Rattus norvegicus: one gene and its partners. The protein of the gene in region 3 purifies or fractionates together with the protein of the main gene of each other region. This does not show direct contact. Links are inferred from orthologs where the notes say so. Each region holds a gene or a part of one and is shown on either strand. Other genes may lie near its edges. The genes, in order: Polr2d, Raf1 and Pin1.

Region 1 (4,186 bases), on a different chromosome or scaffold from region 3:
TGAGCTGGGAGTGGGTGGGTGGGGGAGCACCCTCGTAGAAGCAGGGGTTGGAGAGATGGGATAGAGGAGTTCCAGAGGGGAAACTGGAAAGGGGATAACACTTGAAATGTAAATACATAAAATATCCAATAAAAAAAATAATAAAATAAAAATGAATACAAGAAATCGTACCTGGAGGGCAGCGAGTGCATGATGGCATATACTAGTAACCCCAGAATTTGTGATGCAGTGGAGAAAATTTTGACTGAGTCAAGTCTGAGAGCCTTTTTTCTGGTAGGCAAAATTTGGGGGTGGGGGTGGGGGCTTCAAGCCCTTGATTACTTTTTTTTAACAGGTTCTATCTATGTAGTCCTGGAACTTGCTATGTAGACCAGGCTGGAGTCAAACAGAGATTCTCCTGTCTCTGTCTCTCAAATTCTGGGATTAAAGGCATACCCAGTTAGGGTTTTTTTGTTTGTTTGTTTGTTTTTCCCCTAAGTATTTGTGTGTGGTCTGTTTATTTAGCCATTTGTGTGTATGTGTAAGTGCGTAAGCATACATACTTAGAAGGCAACTTCTCATTCATTCTCAGAGCTTCTGGGTGCATCTGGGGTTCTATATAAGCTCAGGTCCTAAGACTTACCCAGAAAGCACTTTTGGTTGCATTTGTTTGTTTGTTCTATAGACCAGGCTGGCATCGAACTCAGAGATATGCTTGCCTCTACCTCCTGAGTGCTGGGTTAAAGGGGTGCACCACCACCTCTTGGCTGAAGCATGTTTTACCCACTGAGCCATCTCAGCGGCCCCTGCTTTGTTAGCATTTTTAAAACAGCGTCTCATGCAATCAAGGCTGGCTTTGAACCTACTATGCCCCTAAGGATGCCCTTGAACTCCTGGATCCTACAGCCTCTGTCTTTCACGAGAGTCTATAATAATAAAACCGTTTTGTAGGGCTGGAGATGCGGTTCAGCAGCTGAGGGCACCAGCTGCTCTTTCAGAGGACTTGGGTTTCGAGTCCCAGCACCTACACAGTGACTCACGACTGTCCGTAATTCCAGCCCTGGGGAGCTAACGCCCTATTCTGGCCTCTGTGGGTGTTTACACACATGGTGCACAGACATACAAGCAGCCAAACTCCCATAACACATACATAAGTAGATTTTAGTTTTGGGCTTATGTTCAGTACTCACCTACGAACACTGGCAATGGTCTCTCTGTTTTTGAACCGGCTGAAACGGGCTGTATAGTTCAGGGTTTTCATGAAAACCTCTGAAAGCTCCTGTTCGTCCTCCGCACTCTCATTCTGCTGCTTTCGGTGCTCCAGAAGCATGTGAACTTCAGAGTTCAGGAGCGTCTCAGCTGTTTCGAACTCTGGAAGAAGAATAAATGTGAACTGAAAATACTCTTTTCAAAGTCTCAGCATTTGGGAGGCAGAGGCAGGATGATCTCTGTGTTTGAGGCCAGCCTGGTCTATTATTGATGAGCTGTAAGATAGCCAGAGAGACTCAAAAACACCAAACAAACGAAACCAGAAGGCTAGAGAAATGAGCATGCACTGCTCTTTCGAAGGAAGTTCAATTCTCAGCACCCCATCAGACACCTCATAGCACCTCTCCCCTCCTCAGATACCTGCACAGACATAATTAAAATAAAAATAAATTTTACAACAGTGACATAAGGGCTGGAGAGACGACAGCTCCGCACTTAAGAGCATTGGCTAATCTTCTAGAGGATAAGGGTTCTGCCACACACAGCACCAACAAGATGGCTCGAAATCATCTTTTAAGTCCAATTAGTACATCTGGCTTCTATGGACACCTCACATGCATGCAGACCTACACGCAGGCAAAATAATCCTTATATATAAAAATTTAAAAACAAAGATTCTCCATCTCAATTAAAAACACACACAAAAGACAGAAGATAACCTCACTTGCTGGGGCTGGGCAGATGATTAAGTGGATAATGTACTTGCCACTCCAGTGTAAGAAGCAGAGTTAGGATCCTCAGAACCCACAAAACAGGTACAGAGGGTTCCTATATCTAACAGTTGGTAGGAAGAGACAGGGGATTGATTTCCTGGGGCAAGGTGACTAGTTTAGACTAGTTTAGTAGCAGGAACAGCACTATGCACAGAGGCTGGCACACATCCGACAAAAGGAAGTACCAGACATCCCAAACCGGAACCCATCTTGCTCTCAAACGTTCTTCCTAACTCGAAAAGCTACAACGAAGGTTCAGAAACCAACGGCAACAGCATCTCTCCTCAGAGGCCAGGGCAGAGAGCACTTCTGACCCACAGATCTTGAAACGCTTTGACTAGCACTGTGAGAGGAACCATAGCTCAGCTTTTACTGGCTGCCAATTTTGAAATGAGACCTCTGCTCCAGATCTTCTGCATGACAGGAAAAGGCATAGCTTAACTCCCCCTAAAAATCAAGAGCGATGGCGCATGCCTTTAATTCTAGCACTCAAGAGGAAAGGGCACGAATGTGATAAGGTGGAGGCTAGCCTAGGATACCTAATTAGACGCTCTCACAAAAACAAAACTGCTGGGTGTAGGGGAATTAACTACGAAAGGGTTCATTTGTACCGGGCTGACCAATCAATCCCCCGTGCCGGCCCCGAATGCTCCCTGTGGGCAGGGAACGGATAACGACTATAACTCAAGGACAATGTCACCTCAGAGTCGAACTGTCCCGGATACTACCTTTGGGAAAGATGAGCTGGGAAGCATCTTCTTCTACGTCGCCAGCTCGAGGATCGCTTCCACCTGCCGCCATCGCCCTGCGCACTGCCACAGACACTGCCGGAGACGGAAGCCGCACGGACGGGCTCTTCTAAGGAAAAGAACCAATCCGGCTCCGGGGTGGGGCCAAGTGAATGGGCGGGGCCGAGAAAGCGGGCGGACGACGGTAGGTCAGGCACCCTGCTATCACACTAGGGGAAACCCGCGAGACTGCCCGCGACAGGGGCGGTCCGGGCGCAGTCTAGCGGCTTCCGGTCGTTGGAGGTGTGGTTCTGTGCTGCCTGCTTGGAGATTAAAGTGTTTATTTTCGGCAACACACTATTGCCGTGGCACCTGGGAGCGTCAAGTAAGCCATTTCAGAAGAAAGTGAGGTGCAGGACTGAACTAAGTGGCTGATCCAAGGAATGTCCTATGTTGAAAAGCTGGGTAGGTGACTACAGAAACATACTGAAATCTCTTTCAATGATTGAATTGTGTCTTAAGAAAAAAAAAAAAAGACTAACCCCTGTGTGGTGGTAATGAATCAATCACTGAGCGCGAGGATCAAGAGTTGAAGGAGATCAGTTTGTAGTGGCGCATGCCTTTAATCCTAGCATGCCCGAGGCAGGCAAAGGCAGGTGGATCTTTTGAATTTGAGACTAGCCTGGTTTACAAAGTGATATAAAACCAGGGCTACATAGTGAGATCTTGTCTCAAAAAAAAAAAAAAAATTCACAAAGAGGCGTGGCTACTTAGCAAATTCCCAAGAATCCATGCCAGTTTAGGTAACATACCATCCTGTTAAATTGTTCCTGTGTATTTAACAATTCTGAGCAGGTGAAGTTTAATATTGAGAACCCTTTATCATATCTGTTGAGACATTTGAATAAGTAGAAAGCTAAATGAAAAAGTGATATTTTCAATTTAAAGAGAAACAAAAGTCTATACAATAAGGGGGACAAACACTTCTCCAGTTTTTGGGTCATTAGTGAACACTAGTAAACCCTGTAACTTAATAAAAAATGGGCTGGAGAGGTGGCTCTGTGGTTAACACTTGATGCTTTCAGAGGGCCTGGGTTCATTTCCCAGCACCCACACCAGATGGCTCACAAACACCTGTGACTTCAGCTACAAGGGATCTAAACCCTTTCTGGTCTCTCTTTTGGAGGTGAAACACACCATACACACCCTTCACATACACAGAAAATAAATCTTTTTAAAAATTGATAGAAGTATTTATTACAAGACAAGAAAATGTATTTTTATTATATATACAGAGGTGCACAGAAGAGATTAGAGGATAATTTTGTGGAATTTGTTCTCTGTTTCCAGTTTTGCATAGATTCTGGGGATTGAACTCAGGGCCTTTATCTGCTGCATGATCTCACTGGTCCAAGAATAGGTAGTCTTTTGGTTTGTAAATAAAATGAGTTTTACAAAACTGCTGTGTATCTATATTTGTAGAAGGAATGCATTGGT
Region 2 (3,644 bases), on a different chromosome or scaffold from region 3:
TGTTCCATAGATGAAATTTAAGGTTTGTTCCGATCACACTCACATGAATTCAAGGGATAAAGGCTGTTTTTTCTAAGGAATACTATTCTGTCTGTGCCCATACCATCCTGAACAGGCCTGGCCTTATTTAGGGAAGGCTGTTCCCTCACTGAAATGCCACCTTGCATTAGGAATTGTACATTTAGGTTTTCTAAGTCTAAGTCTAGCTCCTTATCTTCAAGGTAAGTTGTTTTTTGCTTGAATGTGGTTCAAATTACCAAAAAGGATTCGATTCATTCAAGTCAGGCATAAACACATATTTCAGCACAAATTCCTTGTTCTGAATGCTGCCTTTAGTTCTATAGTAGCTTTACGGGGATCATTAAATAATAGCTGATTATCTATCAGACATTTTAGACAAAAATGTAGATTTTTTACCTTAGGTCCTAAATACTTGCGTGTCACTGACTGATGTAACTCACTGAACTTGGAGTTTTAGAGCCAGAAAGCAGTGCAGACAAGTTAGAGGCGAACTCTGACCATAACCAGATCTACCTCCAACTACCCGGGTCTTAAGCCTGGGGAAACATCTACAAGTTCAGGCCTGCTTTCTTCTTAGTTGCTATACTCACTTTGGGGACCCTTTCCACAGATGCTTAATTCACCACAACGGGAAGAAGACAGAATTCAAGCTTTTTATATGTGTAATGTGAGATTGAGGTGGTATTGTAACAGAAGGACTGCGTCAAAATCACTTTCCAGAATGTAAGTGCACTGGGACCACAGAGAGAACGTGGCGAACACTGTACTTGGTGTTCCACAGAAACAGCCAAGGGTCTGCAGACAGGACATGAAGAGGGACTTCTTTGTGTTCAGGCTGACAACCTAGCCGATCAATGCAACTTTCCAAAAGCCCAAAGAAAAACCTTACCTAGCAGGCATCCGGGAAACAGATTCTCGCATCCGACGCATTGTGAAAGAGGGTGGTGCTGGGACTCCACTGTCACTTGCAGTGGAATTTGGAAACAGCCTAGAAGAAACAGGGAAAGATTAGTTTGTGGATTTGGTCCTCTCATAGAGAAACCATCCTGCCTTGCCTCTAAACCCAAAGCTAAAACCCAACTTCCCTTGATTCATTTTCCTAAAGTCAGTCACCTACTATGAAGACCATCAACCTGAAGGGCTGCATTACAGGCTGAGTGACAGCAACCAGCTGCCAGGGTATACCTCTAGAAAAGTGGTCCTGTCCAGCTACACTACACAATGCTTCTTAAGTGATAGAACAACATCTCACAACCTCTACCACATACAGCTTTTCTGGAACTGCTGTCTTTGAAACACACACACACACACACACACACACACACACACACAAATTCATTATATTTAGTACCAACAGTAAAACAGAAGGGGAAGTGGGATTACTATTAACCAGGCACATTCATTCCAAATGCTGAGTCCTGGTGCTAAGCAATCTCATGTTATCCCCACCAACTCTTTTGAAATGAAGGAACTGAGAAGACTTGTGCTAGTGACAGTCCTAAGGGTGTGAGGTGTGCGCTGGCCACAAGCACATGCCTTTCTGCTACTCGAGTATTCTGAGAACCAACAAGTGACTTCTGTGGGAGCTAAAAGGTTCCCTCCCATTGTGAATGAAAATGTTATTCCTTTCATTTTCCGAACATGTTGCAATAAGGGTAAAACTGACTTTTCATAATCTCAACACAAGTTTTAAAAAGTCTCTAAGAAGTGTAATTTAAAATATGCATTTAAATCATTTTCTCTCTGTGAAATGTATTTTTGTATCTGGCTTATCTCCTAACAGAGAGAGTCTCAACCTTTTATACCCAAACTGTCTGAGGCCCAAACACATTGCTCCCCAGTGTGAGAGGAAGGAAGCAGCACCAACTCCACTTTCTGCTTTCTTGGGATATAACCTGCAGCCCTGGCCACTTGAAGCCCAGGTGAAGAGAGAAAACCCCACCCTTCAATTTCCATGTCCCTGTTCATCTCCTTGACAAAGCAGTGTCAGTATTAATTTGACAGACAATGGGTCCTGCCTGCTTGTGGTGGTGTTTGTGCATCTGTGTCTGAGTTCATATGACTGTGTGAGTACCAGAGGTCAATGCTAGGAGTCCTCCTCAATAGTTTTTGAGATGGGATCTCTCACTGAAACTAGAGCTCAGTGACTCACTAGACTGTCTGGCTAGCAAACCCCAGGCTAGCTACCGCTGTGTCTCCACTTCCCCAACTCAGAGATTACACTGTGGGCCCAGCTTTGATGTCAGGGCTGGGATCAAGCTCAGCTCTCATGCTTGCTCAGTTAACACTTTACCAACTGAGTCATCCCCGCCCCCAGCTCCCTAGCTGTTTATTTTACAGCTAGACAACCACCACACTAAGAATAACTAATTTCAGAACTATATTATGCTTCTAAAGTAGATTGTTTCTGACTCACAGCAATCATTTATTTAGCAAACCTAAAACTCAGATTTAACATTGAAAATGTGTAATGAACACCGTCAAAAGTGTGTCTGGACCTGACCCTCACATGTTTTTCAAAGAAAAAAACCATAGTGCCTTACAAGAGCTGTCTGATATTACTCCAGTCCACACACATAGTAGGTACTTTGGTGCTACAGTGCTCATGAAACTTGTAGCCACAAGTCTGACATCGAAATCCATTTAGCAGGAACTTTTGACAGATGTCACAGAATGCAAGCTTCAGGAACGTTTTCCGAGCCTGTGACAAGAAAGCAGGTATAGGATTGTGAGAACTCGAGTGACAAGCAAATATAGCACTGTCTTCACCAGCCTCAAGAGTCCCCACTGGGAAGAATCACACTTCCGACACTGTCAGATTCAGATTCAGGGTAAAGGGGCCTCTGTTAGCGGACTCTAAACTACCAGCTATACATGACAGCACAGGGAGGGCTGAAAGCAACTAATGTGCACCCAGGGCTTTTCAGGAAGGTCAACGATCTACCGTAGAGAGCCCAAAATGGCAAAGAAAGAGAGAAGCTGAAACTTACAAAGTTGTGAGTTGTGAGTGGAACGTGATCCAAAAAATCCACTTGCAGTTCTTCTCCAATCAGAGAGGCGGCGTCGGTGTTCCAATCTAAGCGTGCTTTCTTACTAAAAATTACCCAAAGCATAACATGAGAGAGCACTGGACAAGGCTTAAGACATTAGAGCAGTTCTGTCTACTGCATGCTGGCTAAGCACACCTCACAGGTGTTCTGGTTCCACCCAAAAAATAAGCCAAAGTGTATGCTCCTAAAAAAGTGTCCTTTAAACAATGAAGTACAATCCCATGACAAGAATGACTGTGTAATGTTAAAATCCTACCAGGCCACTACAGGTCAGTGTTCAACACCTACTTCCACCTGAAACACACACACAACACAAACACATGTGCTGTGCATTACCTACAGGCTTAAAAGTTGGTTGTAGAAATTATAATAAACACAAGTCTACAGGAGCACAACAGTCTTTAAAATTGACTGACACCACTTTTTCTGTGTCCAGAACAAGGAAGACAGGAAACCATAGTGATTTAAGCAAAAACTGTTGTTCAGGTCCTCTTCCCATTTGCTGAGGATGAATATTTCCAAATGTACCGCACATATGACATCACTCAGGCCCCTCCTATCAGCTTCCAGAAG
Region 3 (4,187 bases):
GGATCAGTGCTTGCATGGCATTGTGAGGTTCTAGGTTCAAGTCCCAGGATCACATATCACCAAAAGGTAGAGTATAACTGTTTTTACCCATTGCTTCGTTCCACAAAAACCCAGGCAGCACCTCCCCCTCCTCTGCTCACAGCAGCAGCAGTTGTGTCTTGTGCATAAACAGAGAAAGTTACTCCAAAGCTCCAGTCTTTTTTTTTTTTTTTTTTTTTTTTTGGTTCTTTTTTTTCGGAGCTGGGGACCGAACCCAGGGCCTTGTGCTTCCTAGGTAAGCGCTCTACCACTGAGCTAAATCCCCAGCCCTCAAAGCTCCAGTCTTAACCCCTGCACTGGTAGCCTAAGTCAGAGAGCAAGGGGTAGCATTACTCAGGGCCTGATGTCATCTGAGTGGCTGTGAGGGCATAAAGGAGACAGATGGAAAATCAAAACCTCAAGGGAAAACTCTGGCTTAGTGGAACATGCTGTTTGCCTAGCACTAGGGAGGCTGAGGCAAGAGGATGGATGTCTGCAGATTGAAGCCAGTAAAAGTAAGTTTGCAAGACGGACTCAAAAAAGTGAAAGGTAAAAGAGGAGGAAGGGGTATGGCAGAAGCCTGAAGGAAGGACCCAGTAGATTCTGGGTCACTCCAAGGGCTGAGTCTACCTGGGTTACACAGCTGATCTAGCATAGGAGAAGAGCTGGATGTTACCCATGAAGGAAGGGCTTTTCATAGTCCTACTGAGAACAAATGACAAGCATAACTAAGCAGAGGGGCAGGTATAGGGGTGTGTGTGTGTAAAAGAGTTTCACTATGGGGGCTGGATAGATGGCCCGGAGATTAACAGCACCATCTGCTCCTCTATTGGACTGGAGTTCAATTTCCAGTACCCATGTGGAGGCTCACAACTGTCTCTTCAGGCTTCTTGGTGGGCACTGCATGCATATGGAATACACATGCAAGCCTAATACCCATACATGTATTTTTTAAAAAAGTGTACGTAGCCCAGGACAACCATGAACCAGATCTCCTCCTGCTTCTGCCTAAGTGCTGGAAATACAGCTGTGTGCCACCACACCCAGTTAGAGACAAGTTTATGCTAGAGGTCACAACCCCACCCTAGGAATGGAGCAGCCCAAAGCCTCTGGGGATAAATCCAACTAAAACCTTTGTCAGGTCACCTTCCCTGAACCTCAGCTTTCTCATCTGTAGACTGGGACAAGAGAATAAGGACATCAGAGCATAAAGGCTTATAACTTTAGTCCCAGTGCGTGAGAGGCTGAAGCACAAGGATCATGAGTTGGAAGCAAGCTTGGGCTACACAGCAAGACTTTACCTCTGTGTGATGTAATCCCAGCAGAACACCAGAGGTTCAAGGTCATCCTTGGATAAGTATCGTCTGAGCGCTCATGCTCGCTCTTGCGCACTCTTTCTTTCTTTCTTTCTCTCTCTCTCTCTCTCTCTCTCTCTCTCTCTCTCTCTCTCTCTCTCTCTCACACACACACAAACACACACATCTTAGAAAGGAAAATGGCTCAATGGGTAAGTGCTTGCAGCCAAATCTGACGGAGTTCACAATCTACTCATGGTAGAAGGAAGAAAACTCTTGCAAGTTAAGATTGTCTGACCTTCACATGCACATACATTAAATACAGTATTACTAATATTATTAGTAAAGATTGTTTCAATAAATAAATTGGGCAAAGTGGTGCATGCCTGTAATCTCAGCACTTGGGGGAGCTGAAGCAGGGGGATCAGGAATTCAAGAGTAACCTGTCTTTATGAGGCTCTGTCTAATGCCTTTCCACATCCACTCTTGATAAAAAGGTGGAAAGTGAATGACATTAAACCTAGCTGGGTTCAGAGAGTTAACATATGCAGTGTCCAGAACCTTGATGCTTAATAACTAAGAATTTTGAGTGAGCTCTGTAGGTTGCATTGACCCTGGCTACCTGAAATGCTTGTAGGCTACTCTAGGCGTTGCCACTGACACTGGGAAGGGGACATTTGAGATCAAAAAAAAAAAAAAATCATTGCAATCTAGGGCATTCCCAGTGACTGAACTGCATTATCAGATGAGTTCTTTCCATGTCTGGCCTCAGTTTCTCCCTCTTGAAATATGAGAGCAATTCCTTTCTTGAAAGATGGTAGCAACCGGGGTGTGGGGGGGAGGAGAGCATGAACCAAGAAAAGAGAGGGAGCGAGGGAGGAGGGAGAGGGAGATGGAGGAACAGAGGTGGAGGTGGGGATAGGAGGAAGAGGAAGAGTGGAGAGGTGGGTGGGAGAGAGAGGGAGGGGTGGAAGGAGAGAGTGAGAGAAGGCAGGAGGGAGAGGGGGAGGGGAAGCGGGAGCACACACCGGCGTAGACTTGTAAAAGAACTGAAGTCTTTCAAAGAGTTTGGCACCATGCTTGACCCAGAGACGAACTGTCCTGGTTAGGAGCCATCACTGTCCCTGGGTCCCGATAGGGGGATGAGCGGGCACGTGTCTCGGATGCTGCCCGAGAAACCAGAGCAGGGCGGCCCACGCCCTCTGCACCGAATCCCGATCTTCCTCTCAAGGGAACTCCGAGGTGCAGACTCGTCGCCTCAGAGCACCGGGGCCCAGTGGTGGGCGAGAACCGGGGCGCGCCTGTGCCTGCCCCACCTCCTACCTCAGTATCTGGCTTTCCGGGCCCGTTATGCCGCGGAGGAGGCCAGATCTCCATGCCCGAAGCAGGACGGTGATGCGACTCGCCTGTGCAGGCGAGCTCAAGCCCAACTTCCGCAACCTCCAGGCCTCGCCCCGGGCCCTGGGCGACCCCTAAGAGGTACCTGAGCTGCGACTCATACGCTTCTCCCACCCGGACGGCAGCTTCTCCTCGTCCGCCATCTTCCCTCCTGCCGCAGCGCCTGCTCCGCCTCCGCGGCTCTGACCCCGCGCCAGACCAGCGCCGCTGTTGATTGGCTCATCCAATCGAGACGCCAATTGGACGGCAGCACAACGCCTCGAGCTCTCGAGCCTTTTATTGGGCTCTCCCGCGGCCTCCTGGACCACCCCTACACACACCCTCCACCCACTACCCTCACCTTCCCAACACCGCTACTGATTGGCTCGTCTGGAAGCTACGTCTATTGGATGCTCCAACCCGGCAAGCGGCTCCCTTTAAGCGTCAAAAGGGCGCTCCACCCTTTTTGGTGCGCTTAGCCGATAAAATAGTGCTTATTTGACTGGCTCCTGCGGCAGCCAATCCGGCCTTCTCAAGCCTTTCTCGGAGGTCCGCCAGAATCCACGCGGAAGTGGCCAGCTGGAACTAAGGTACATGGGTGCTTTTGCTGTACTTTGCCGTTGCCATAGCAATGCAGTTGCCTTGGTGACAAAAGGCTAACTATTCAGAGCCTAAATTTGGCTTTTGAGTTCTTCTTCCCACCTTTTCCTCCAGATGTCCAAAGCGAAACCAGTCCTTTTCGGTTTTTGCAAGGCGAACCATTTCACTGGTTTATTCACCCACTTTCCATGTCTTTTTTAGAACCTACTTCGACTTATTCCTTCTCCATGGGCTCCTCCTGACTTCTAGGCAGGTGACTGATGGGTGAGAGCATTACCACTAGACCGAGGAAAGGGGGTAGGAGAGGGTGGGCGGCTCCAACGACCGGTTTTAGTCAACTGGTAGTCTGAGGAAAACGGTGTGTTAATGTATACCTTCAATCCTAGTACTCAGGAGGCAAAGGCAGGCAGTTCTGAGTTCGAGACCAGCCTGCTCTACAAAGTGAATTTCAGCACAGCTAAGGCTACACAGGAAACTTGTCTCAACAAACGAATGAACGAATCAAAAAAAAAAAAAAAAAAAAAAGACAGCTAGAGAGATGGCTCAGTGGTTAAAGCACTAGCTGCCCTTCCATTAGACCTTTCAATTCACCAGACCTGCATGTGGTACACATTCATACATACATGCAGGCAATTCATATATATAAGAATTTTAAAATGTTACTTTATGCCTAGTGCTGGTGGCAAACGCCTTTAATCCTACACTTAGGAGGCAGAGGCAATCAGATCTCTGAGCTTGAGGCCAGCCTGGTGTACAAAGTGAGTTCCAGGACAGCCAGAGCTACACAGAGAATCCCTGTTTCAAGAATTTTTAAAAAATCACTTTAAAAAACTATTACATTTATAAGGGATACCGCCATGAAAGCTGTGTAATCAAGAGGACAATTTGTGGCAATCT

What was found.
Region 1: the proteins of Pin1 (region 3) and Polr2d purify together in Homo sapiens (co-immunoprecipitation; 3 studies listed by BioGRID and IntAct, with this or other methods). This does not show direct contact. The link is inferred for Rattus norvegicus from reciprocal best matches to the Homo sapiens genes PIN1 and POLR2D.
Region 2: the proteins of Pin1 (region 3) and Raf1 purify together in Homo sapiens (co-immunoprecipitation; 3 studies listed by BioGRID and IntAct, with this or other methods). This does not show direct contact. The link is inferred for Rattus norvegicus from reciprocal best matches to the Homo sapiens genes PIN1 and RAF1.

What each region holds. Positions count from the first base shown.
Region 1 is NC_086036.1:23,691,209-23,695,394, reverse strand, and holds the start of Polr2d (DNA-directed RNA polymerase II subunit RPB4), read right to left. Parts: upstream 2,818-4,186; 5' UTR 2,763-2,817; coding exon 2,690-2,762; intron 1,351-2,689; coding exon 1,170-1,350; intron 1-1,169. UniProt on the Homo sapiens protein: Core component of RNA polymerase II (Pol II), a DNA-dependent RNA polymerase which synthesizes mRNA precursors and many functional non-coding RNAs using the four ribonucleoside triphosphates as substrates.
Region 2 is NC_086022.1:150,364,195-150,367,838, forward strand, and holds part of Raf1 (RAF proto-oncogene serine/threonine-protein kinase), read right to left. Parts: intron 3,115-3,644; coding exon 3,012-3,114; intron 2,723-3,011; coding exon 2,565-2,722; intron 1,010-2,564; coding exon 911-1,009; intron 1-910. UniProt on the Homo sapiens protein: Serine/threonine-protein kinase that acts as a regulatory link between the membrane-associated Ras GTPases and the MAPK/ERK cascade, and this critical regulatory link functions as a switch determining cell fate decisions including proliferation, differentiation, apoptosis, survival and oncogenic transformation.
Region 3 is NC_086026.1:27,464,315-27,468,501, reverse strand, and holds the start of Pin1 (peptidyl-prolyl cis-trans isomerase NIMA-interacting 1), read right to left. Parts: upstream 2,861-4,187; 5' UTR 2,855-2,860; coding exon 2,797-2,854; intron 1-2,796. UniProt on the Homo sapiens protein: Peptidyl-prolyl cis/trans isomerase (PPIase) that binds to and isomerizes specific phosphorylated Ser/Thr-Pro (pSer/Thr-Pro) motifs.